3 linked regions of the Mus musculus genome follow. Each later gene encodes a partner of the first gene's protein in a complex. Links are inferred from orthologs where the notes say so. Each region holds a gene or a part of one and is shown in the gene's direction. Other genes may lie near its edges.

The links. Proteins that work in one complex are often made in the same cells at the same time.
Region 2: the proteins of Eps15 (region 1) and Ston2 are in contact, whole or in part, in an NMR structure (PDB 2JXC), measured with the Homo sapiens proteins. The link is inferred for Mus musculus from reciprocal best matches to the Homo sapiens genes EPS15 and STON2. Residues at the interface, in NP_001972.1 of Homo sapiens: Leu139, Gly148, Lys152, Pro153, Val154, Leu155, Leu156, Asn157, Ser158, Lys159, Val162, Asp163, Leu165, Gly166, Arg167, Trp169, Glu170, His176, Gly178, Met189, Val192, Tyr193, Leu196, Glu197, Lys198; in NP_001353779.1 of Homo sapiens: Trp309, Arg310, Ala311, Thr312, Asn313, Pro314, Phe315, Glu318, Gln321, Asp322, Gln324, Pro325, Ser326, Ile328, Asn329, Pro330, Phe331, Phe334, Phe335, Glu337, Gln338, Glu339, Arg340.
Region 3: the proteins of Eps15 (region 1) and Ap2a2 are in contact, whole or in part, in a crystal structure (PDB 1KYU), measured with the Mus musculus proteins. Residues at the interface, in NP_031969.1 of Mus musculus: Asp629, Pro630, Phe631, Lys632; in XP_006536218.1 of Mus musculus: Phe442, Phe443, Trp446, Lys447, Asp487, Pro488, Val494, Arg511.

The regions. Positions count from the first base shown.
Region 1 is NC_000070.6:109,360,275-109,363,774, forward strand, and holds part of Eps15 (epidermal growth factor receptor substrate 15), read left to right. Parts: intron 1-888; coding exon 889-1,050; intron 1,051-1,395; coding exon 1,396-1,593; intron 1,594-2,904; coding exon 2,905-3,105; intron 3,106-3,500. UniProt on the Homo sapiens protein: Involved in cell growth regulation. May be involved in the regulation of mitogenic signals and control of cell proliferation. Involved in the internalization of ligand-inducible receptors of the receptor tyrosine kinase (RTK) type, in particular EGFR.
Region 2 is NC_000078.6:91,639,937-91,643,436, reverse strand, and holds part of Ston2 (stonin-2), read left to right. Parts: intron 1-1,513; coding exon 1,514-1,716; intron 1,717-3,500. UniProt on the Homo sapiens protein: Adapter protein involved in endocytic machinery. Involved in the synaptic vesicle recycling. May facilitate clathrin-coated vesicle uncoating.
Region 3 is NC_000073.6:141,628,180-141,630,845, forward strand, and holds part of Ap2a2 (AP-2 complex subunit alpha-2), read left to right. Parts: intron 1-1,010; coding exon 1,011-1,134; intron 1,135-1,879; coding exon 1,880-1,996; intron 1,997-2,105; coding exon 2,106-2,175; intron 2,176-2,257; coding exon 2,258-2,392; intron 2,393-2,666. UniProt on the Homo sapiens protein: Component of the adaptor protein complex 2 (AP-2). Adaptor protein complexes function in protein transport via transport vesicles in different membrane traffic pathways.

The DNA.
Region 1 (3,500 bases):
CCTTTCTTATAGAACCTAGACCGCTAGTCCTGGGATTGTACCACCCTCCATCTCAATCAATAATTAATAAGATGCCATATAGCTGTATATTATGGAGGTGTTTTCTTAATTAAGGTTCCCGCCTCTCAGATGGCTTTATCATGTGTCAAGTTGACACAATAAAACTAGTCAGTACACTAGGCTAGCCTCAAACTCAGAGATCTATTCTGTCTCAGCCTCTGGAGGTGCTGGGATTAAAGGTGTGTGCCACCAACTTCTGTATTAGTCAGGGTTCTCTAGAGTCACAGAACTTATGAGTAGTCATATAGTAAGGGAATTTGTTGATAGCTTAGTCTGTAGTCTAACTCCCAACAATGCTCAGCAGCAGCTGTGAATGGAAGCCCAAGGATCTAGCATTGCTCAGTCCCAGAAGGCAAAAGGCTTTTTAAAAGGGGCTAGGGCGCTGAAAATACATGTAAGAGTAGCTGAGGTGAAGCAGCATAACCCCTTGAAAGGTAACTCTCTGAGAGAGATGAAGATGACTGAAACCAGCACTGCAGGGAAGGATTTGCTGGCAGACCTGACACAGAAGAGAAAGGGAAGTGGAAGGAAAAAAGTGGAAGAAGATGCCATGGTTTTCACTAGAAGACCGAGGTTACAGCAGATTCAGGAAATAATAAGAGCTCTGTTTTGACACATAGCAGTCAGTTAGACATCCAAGGACCTATCTGAGTAAGCAGACTAGAGATCCAAATCCAGAAGAGGTCACTTGAAGACTGCATGTAAAATCAAGTGCTTTAGTCCTCCAATACAAAATACTTAATAAACAAGACTGTTTTCCCTTAAAGTAGACTTAAAATCTTACCTTTCCATGCCCTCAAAGAGATAAATGTGTTTCTTGTGTTTCAGGATCTTCAAGATGAAGTTCAAAGGGAGAGTATTAATCTACAAAAACTGCAGGCCCAGAAGCAGCAGGTGCAGGAGCTCCTGGGTGAACTGGATGAGCAGAAAGCCCAGCTGGAGGAGCAGCTCCAGGAAGTCAGGAAAAAGTGTGCTGAGGAGGCCCAGCTGGTAAAGCCTGGCTGCTTACTGACCGACTTGCTACCTCCATCTTGTTCCTGGTTTAGAAAGAAAACATTGCCTGCTTGTTAGTGGCACTGTAGCCAGCAGCTGCTTTATGAAGGCGTTGGAAGGATGCTTATGAAGAGTTATAGTTCTCTGTAGTAGGAATTAGAAGGGTGATATTTTTCCAGCTCTTGATTACACAGATGTTACCTGTGTTACACAGATGCCTCTGAGTTGCTTTTGGCCCCTTCCCTGTTAACTTTCACTGCCAAAAGAATACCTCAAAAGTTCCAGTCCACTAAACTAGACATCTCGTGTCTAATTCCATCTCCCATTCATCTCCATTTATAGATTTCTTCCCTGAAAGCAGAAATAACTAGTCAAGAATCTCAGATCTCCAGTTATGAGGAAGAACTGTTGAAAGCTAGAGAAGAACTAAGTCGCCTACAACAAGAAACAGCACAATTGGAAGAAAGTGTGGAGTCAGGGAAGGCTCAGCTGGAACCTCTTCAGCAGCACCTACAAGAGTCACAACAGGAAATCAGCTCAGTAAGTGGAAACCAGCAGAATGCCCAGAGGGGCCTTGTGTGTCCTTGTTGTAACTTTCTAACACCTGCCCCTTCTTCCTCTGCCTAGTTAGTATCTCTGGTTGTTTAATACTTAAAGTTGGTGTCTAATGGTCATTTACATAATAGATTAGAGTAGGGGCTTTGTAGTTAAAGCTGTTCAGGTTTAAATGCTGGCTCTGTCATTTCATAGGCGAATCACTTTTGAGTATCAGCTTTTTTATCTTTAAAGTTGAAGATTTAACAACAAACCTACTTATTAGGGCTATTATAAGGATTAAATGAGGCAAAACATGAGGTAAAAAAGTTAGAGTCATGGGGAAAAGAAGCTTCAATTGAGAAAATGCTTCTGTGAGATGGGACAAGCCTGCAGGGCATTTTTTTCTTTTCTTTTTTGAGACAGGGTCTTGTCTCTAACAGTCTTGGCTATCCTGGAACTCACTTTGTAGACCAAGCTGGTCTTGAACTCACAGAAATCTACCCTCCCCTGCCTCCCAAGTGCTGAGATTAAAGGCATATCACTATGTCCAGCTTGAAAGACATTTTCTTAATTAGTGATTGATGGGGAGGGCTCAGCCTATTGTGGCTTGTGCCATCCCTGGGCTGATGGTCCTGGGTTGTAAAAAAAAAAAAAGCAGGCTGAGCAAGCCATGAGGAGCCACCCAGTAAGCAGCACTCCTCCATGGCCTCTGCATCAGTTCCTGCCTCCAGGTTCCTGCCCTGTTTGAGTTCCTGTCCTGAATTCCATTAATGATGAACAATGCTGTGGAAGTGTAAGCCAAATGATCCTTCTCCTCCCCAAGTTGCTTTGGTCATGAGGTTTCATCACAGCAGTAATAACTCTAAGACACTGAACAACTTACTGGGTTTTTTTGGGATTCCAATTTTTAGATCAATTTTTCTTAGTGAAATCATTTAGTTTTCTTGTATCTGTTTATTATTATATATTGATTCTTCCATTTGTGTCTTACGGTTGAATTCATTTGACTAGTTTAGGTCAAAACAGCTTTATCCTTTGTTTATTGGACTTTGTGTGACTTATTTTTTTAGAAGAAGTAGTTCTCAGAGACCTGACAGAAATTTCATAAGGCTTACAAAAACAAATGCATGCATGCTGACATTGCAGGAGGACTCACTGGGAGAGATTATTGAAGCCTTTAAGTCATGCTTCATTCCTAGAGGAATCTGCTAATAGGAAGCAAACTCATCCCTGAGTTAGTCTAGGGGCATAGATATTTGTGATATATTTATTTCTAGGATTAAATTGTTTTGTATTTCTACTTTGTATTGGCAGATGCAAATGAGATTGGAAATGAAAGATCTGGAAACTGATAATAACCAATCAAATTGGAGCAGTAGCCCACAAAGCGTTCTTGTTAATGGTGCTACAGATTACTGTAGCCTCAGCACCAGCAGCAGTGAAACAGCCAACTTCAACGAACATGCTGAAGGCCAAAACAACCTAGAGTCTGAACCCACACACCAGGAGTCCTCAGTGAGTTTTTGTTTCATAGTGTTTATTATTAAGTTTCCCCCTCGACTCCCCCCACAGATTGATGAAGATCAAAGTTAGTGTGTACAGACTTATGTGCAGAGACCAGGGGGCGTCCTCAAAGTGTCACTCCTTAGATGCTGTTCACTTGTTTTTAAAAAAATAGGGCCTCGGAGATCTAGAGCTTACCAATTAGACTAGGGTGACTGGCCGGAAGCCCCAGGTGTCTGTCTGTCTACATCACCCCTGCTCTGGGTTTACAAGCACACACCACCACTTTTGGCTTTTTGCATGGATGCTGGGGATCTGAACTCAGTCCACACTTGAGCAGCAGGCTCTTTATCAAATAGGCTCTCTCCAGCCCCAGAGCAGTGTTTTATCAGCATTGTATATAATAG
Region 2 (3,500 bases), on another chromosome or scaffold:
AGCCTTGTCAGAGAGATCTAATTTTTCTCATTTACGAGATAGGGTTATTAGTACCTAGCTCATTCAGAGTGAAATTGGGGAATGCTTTTCAGTGTGAAGCACAGTTTTCATAGAGATGACAAATGACAGCTCTGTAATTAGTCCGTGGCACCCAAAACAATAGATTGAACAGATGTGTTTTCAGATACCATCAAGTTCTGATTAATTTATGTGTGTGTGTGTGTGTGTGTGTGTGTGTGTGTGTGTGTGTATTAGTTTCTGTTCCTTTCCTAAAAGCCAGTGCAAATTTTTCTGTTAAATATCCTAGCCTTACTCTTTAGAAATAACCATTAAATTATGCTACATCTGCGAAAAACAAATACCTCACTCTGGAGTGATTTCCTTGGAGAGAGGGTGTGCGTCTCCTGACTCTCCGAGATTGAAAAACCCTGCCCAGAGCAATAAAGGAAATTGAAATTGTTGACTCGAAGAGGCAGAGAAGAGTTATACCATCAGTCAAAGCCACATCACAGTTTATCTGTAGTCATCTGCCGCCTCTCATCTCTACACTGTCATCCTGCAACCTGGTCTCCATGTTTCAGGGGCCATGAAATTATGACTCAGACAAAGGGGTAGCAGGCCACAGTCACAGCTCTGACACTTTTCTTCGCTGTGACCCCCTGAACCCTCCTCAGCCACCCTAAGACAGTGGTTCGGCAGATCAGATCATTGGTCCAGTGCACTGTGTCCCCCCAGTTTTCCTGTGTGCTGTCCATAACTCTGTCACTTTCATACATCACCCACCCGCAGAAACATGCCCGAGGCACCTCTGAAAATACAAAATGCTATTAGGAGAATTCATCTTATAAAGGAGAGCAGTTTGCTCCAGGCGGCTGTCGCTGATGGTTTCTTGGGTGCCAAGTGCTAATCTCATCTGCTCATTCTTCCAGTCTCAGGCCTCTTTCTTAGTGTTTGTGCTGTGTCCGCACAGCCAGCCCTTGGATCTAAACAGTCATAAAAGCCTATTTCTCAGGCTGTGGACTTTTTTTCCCATTTGTTTTTTTGTTTGCTCTCATTTTTACAAATGATGTTTAATCACCTTGGTACTTCTTTTTATTTATTTATCTTCTATTTTATGTGCATTGGAGTTTTGCCTGCATGTCTGTCTGTGTGAAGGGGTCGGCCCTCCTGGAACTGGAGTTAGAGAGAGTTGTGAGCTGCCGTGAGGGCGCTGAGAACTGAAACTAGGGTCTTCCATAAGAGCCGCCATTGCTTTTAACCACTGAGCCCTCTCTCTCTAGCCTCCATGGACTGTGGCTTTTATGCTGGTGTCCAGGCTGCTGTAATCAAGAGGCACAGGATGAAAGGGTCTGAGGCTCTCAGAGCCTGATGTCTGGGGAAGCGCCTGATTGGACCCTCAGCAAGCAGCCAGGCTCGGAGCCTGCAGCGTTAGCAGGGTGGCGCATTAGCCTCCTTTCCCTTTTCATTTCCTCCTCAAAGGACTTAACGTCTGGATGCTTTCTTTCTGTTGCAGCTTCTGGCCACCCACACTGTTTCTTTTGCCACCTTGAGCTTGGCTCTGACCGGGAAGTGCCTTCCAGATTTGCCAACTATGTAAACGTTGAGTTCAGCATGCCCACGACTTCTGCCTCCAAAGCAGCCGTGAGATCCGTGTCTGTGGAGGACAAGCCTGACGTCAGGAAGTGGGTCAATTATTCTGCACACTACAGCTACAAGGTAGCCTGGAGAGGGCTTCCCGCTGAGGTGTCCAAGCCCATTTGTCTGCCCCGCCCCTCCCCCCACTCCTTCCAGCAGATGCTTCTTATATAGGCCCTTTACATTCATAGCTGTGGGTGAATCTGCTCTGACTTTAATGAAATAATCCCTCGCGGGTAAGAGAGAAACTAGGCAAAAACTTAAGGGGCTGATGAGAATGTATTATCTGACGTAAATAGCAGCACAAAGAACAGTGGGACGAAGCGGGACCTGGTCCCATCTGTGGTAAGATTTCTGCTTTGGAGGGATTGATCTTGGAAATGGGGGCAGGGAGGGCTGGGAACATGATAAGCTGAAGCAAATATTTCGTCTACGGGAGTTGTGTATCAGAACCCAGCAGAGGCACTGGACTGTAGGAGTGCAAACTTAAAAGCCAAACCCTTTCACAGTGATAATGGGATCGAGACTGGGGGGGGGGGGGTTTCAGTCAAAACTGGAGAGCCGGTTTTCTTGCTGGGGGGGGGGGGGTACTGGGGGCTTTGAAGACAGGGTCTCCCCCTGTAGCTCAGTCCAGCTTTGAGTTCTGTTTTCCAGCCTGTGAGCACTCAGATTATAGGTAGATCACCGTGAAACAGGGGCTTGCAACATATCAAAATGATAATGTCCTGCGGAGGGAAGAGAAAAGTCTCGGTGAAAGATTTCACAGAGTCATTGGATCATTTCCTACATATAATGATAACCACAGATTTATATAATTTATGATTCCTCTAAATACTTTCTTAGTTGTAGCATCTAAAACTGTTTTAACTACCAAGAAGAACGAATGCCCCATCTTGTGGCCATGATAAAACTAGCAGTTCCCGCAACCATGGACTGCAAGCTGTCTTCAGTTGTCGCCTCCAATGAAGAAAACATTCCGTGCTGAGAAGCAGCCCAAGTCATGGGATTGCTAAGTGCAAAGAAGTCCCTTCCTAAGAGGCTTTAGTCAGGCGTGATACTCTTTAAAAGCAGTTTATTTAGTTACTTATTTATTTAATGTGTGTGGGTGTTTTGTCTGCATGTATGTCTGTGCCTGAGGAGACCTTGGCACTGGAGTCACAGACAGTGGTGAGCCACCATGTAGGTGCTGGGAATTGAACCCAGGCCCTCCAGAAGAGCAGCCAGTGAGTGTTCTTAACCACTGAGCCATCTCTCGAGCCCAAGGCATGCTACTTTCATGTTTCTTTTCTTTTTCTTTTTCTTTTCTTAAGATTTATTTATTTTATTTTTATGAGTGCACTGTAGCTGTCAGACAAACCAGGAGAAGGCATCGGATCCATTACAGATGGTTGTGAGTCACCATGTGGTTGCTGGGAATTGAACTCAGGACCTCAGGAAGAGCAGTCAGTGCTTTTAACTTCAGAGCCATCTCTCCAGCCCAGAGAGCAACTTCTTGACAGGATTTTGCAGGAGGTCGAACAGAACAATAAATGTTCCAATTCTTATTAGTGTAAAGACTTTTTAAAAATGAAATAATGAAGGGCCTTAAGTGGTCAATGACAGAGACATTTAGTCACTCTATTCACCATTGCCTACTGGAATCCCACACCATTGAATAAAATCAACGAGATCTGTTCTTATCCCTCGAACCTATGGAATAGTGGAGGCAGGGACGACAGATATATGCAGAGAAAACTTGTTCTCCCTCCTGAATTGGCACACAGGTAGTATTTGAGCAACTCTGGGAGACGAAGAATGAATAAGAATTTTCCACATGGACCATGGGGAATCCTAGAGTCCTTGGGACTGGGGTTCCACTGTGTCAG
Region 3 (2,666 bases), on another chromosome or scaffold:
TCTCCTATGATATCAGTAAGTTCTTTGCCCTGGGAAATCCCCCAAAAGGAGCTGTGGCCAAAGGCAGAGTAACCCTGTGGTAACTGCCTGGAATGGATCATCTCAAGCCTGCTGGTTCTGTGTGCGCTGGTGGCCTTTGCTCAGGCAGAGGATGGATCCATGTGACCCATCACGGAGGGTCTGGAATGTTGGATTTTTTTCAGCTGAGGACTGTCAGAGAGGGCTGGCTGGCATCTGCTGCACCGTGCAGACAGTGACCAGGGATGCATGCCTTGGACCCAGCTCATAGTGTAGAGCAATGAGTGTCATCTTTGTAGTAGACCTGGGTTCATTTGGAGATGTTCTATTTAAACAGAACCGTTTGGAAACAAGTAAACACTGATGTGGGGTTTAGGGATGTATCTCGGTGGTGAAATGCACACCTATGCATCATAAGCAAGAACCTGGAAACATCTCCACAACCCCTGCTGTACACACGAACTCCCTTTCCTGTGTCTCTTTTCCCTGGGCTCCATGGGGTCATGAGCTGTGGGCACAGGGTGCCACACAGAATGCAGAGGGAAGCAGAAGCTGCCCATGACCAGCCATGGTTGCTTGGATCCTGGATGCAAAGGTATCAGAGAGCCTAGAGGTTCCTGTTGAGATATTGCAGTCTCTGGCTTCCATGAGTTCAGAGCTGCACTGATCTGTAATGCTGTGCCTTTTAGTTAGCAGGCATGGCTTCTGCTAAGAACATGTAGTTCAGAGCTTGGTTCTGCAGTGCTAAGTCCAATATGCAGCTAGTGTACAAATTCTAAGGTCTTTTAGGGAAAGCGACTAGCTTTGGCTGTAGGTAGTCTGGGCCAGTGGGACCTGTTGAATAATGGAAGGGCAAGCTGGCAATAGCTCCGGGCCTTGATTTACTTTCGATGTTGGCAAGTTGATGTGTAGGGGCCCCTGCTACTTTCTGTGGTGGGCTGGCTGGACTGATCCCACTCTCCTTGTCTGCCTGGACTCCTTAATGCACTCACATCTGAACCTGCAGACTAAGCCCGTGGACCCAACTGTGGATGGGGGCGCACAGGTGCAACAAGTGGTCAACATTGAGTGTATATCTGATTTCACAGAGGCACCTGTCCTCAACATCCAGTTCAGGTGAGTGGTGTGTGCCTCCTGTGTCCTTTCCCAACCAGTGTGCTTCTCTTCAAAGTTAGTGCTGTGTCCCTGTGCCTGTGTGCAGAGTAGTTAGTGCCAGGCCTGGAATTCTAGACTCCAGGAGCAGGTGCAGAGGGAGCTGGTGTCTGTGACCATGGCACGGTGCCCATGGGGTGTGAGTCTTCTGTGTGGTCTGTGGGGCTAGGCTGTTTCTGACCCAGATGATTTTGTGGTGAGAAATCGAAGGGCTTGCCCCTCAAGGAGTCCAAGAATCAGGCTCTCCACGCTGTCTTGTTGAAGCTGGCTTAAGAGGACAGCTTAAAGGGGAACGGTGGTAGCTGGTTTGGACCCAGACTTCTGGGCCATAGTATGTAGCTGCCTTTCTTTTTTTTTTAGTGATCATAATAGAGCATGATTCCTTCTTGGGGAGCTACTAGGCTAATTGATTTGGTAGGAGTTCTACTAGGGCTTGTTCCGGGTCTTCATTTGCCAAAGGAATAGGACTAAAAGGAACTGGTCCACTGACACTTCACATAAAGCAGTGGTTTGGTCCTTTGATCATCTGTGAATGGAGGGATAGATGGAGGCTGTGGCTTAGCCCCTCCAGGAATACTGCTGGTGTGCAGTCTTTGTGGCTATTATTGGGGTGGGTAGCCACGTGGCCTTTTTCTAAGCCCAGAAGACTCACCAACGGAAACATTCTGGCTCCATGTTTGTTCTCCATAACGTGACTCTGTTGTTACAGGTATGGTGGGACCTTCCAGAATGTGTCTGTTAAGCTTCCCATCACTCTCAACAAATTTTTCCAGCCCACAGAAATGGCTTCTCAGGATTTCTTTCAACGTTGGAAGCAGTTGAGCAAGTGAGAGGGGTGAACTGTGGGTGGAGAGGGGGATGGGGATGCTGTCTCTGGACAGGATGCTGTATGGGTGTCAGCATAGCTTTTAGTACTTAACATGCTGTTTTTGTAGTCCACAGCAAGAAGTGCAGAATATCTTCAAAGCAAAGCATCCGATGGACACAGAGATCACTAAGGCAAAGGTAAAGGTTGTATGGCGATGTCCCTGAGGCCATTGCTGGGACCAGTACTGGGAGGCTTGACCTGCTTCTTCATTCTGTGTAGATTATTGGATTTGGTTCTGCGCTCCTGGAAGAAGTTGACCCGAATCCTGCAAATTTCGTGGGTGCTGGCATAATACACACCAAAACCACCCAGATTGGCTGCTTGTTGCGCCTGGAGCCAAACCTGCAAGCTCAGGTGAGGTCTCCACAACAGGAGGATGGATATGCTTGTGTTGCTATTCATTTCAGTGCAGTTTATTTATAGAGATACTAAGTGTTGTGGTCATGGTGGCAGTGCAGACATTTAGACATCTCCTGGCCAGCAGAGCACATCATATTTCTATCTCCTCACAGAAGGCCTGACATACTAACAGTGCCTGTTTAGCAGTGTAGCCCTGAGCTGTGTCTAAGCAGGGCTCCCGGTGCTGTCTTGCTCTGTGTCCCTCTCTGGGTGTGGTGCACAGTGCTGC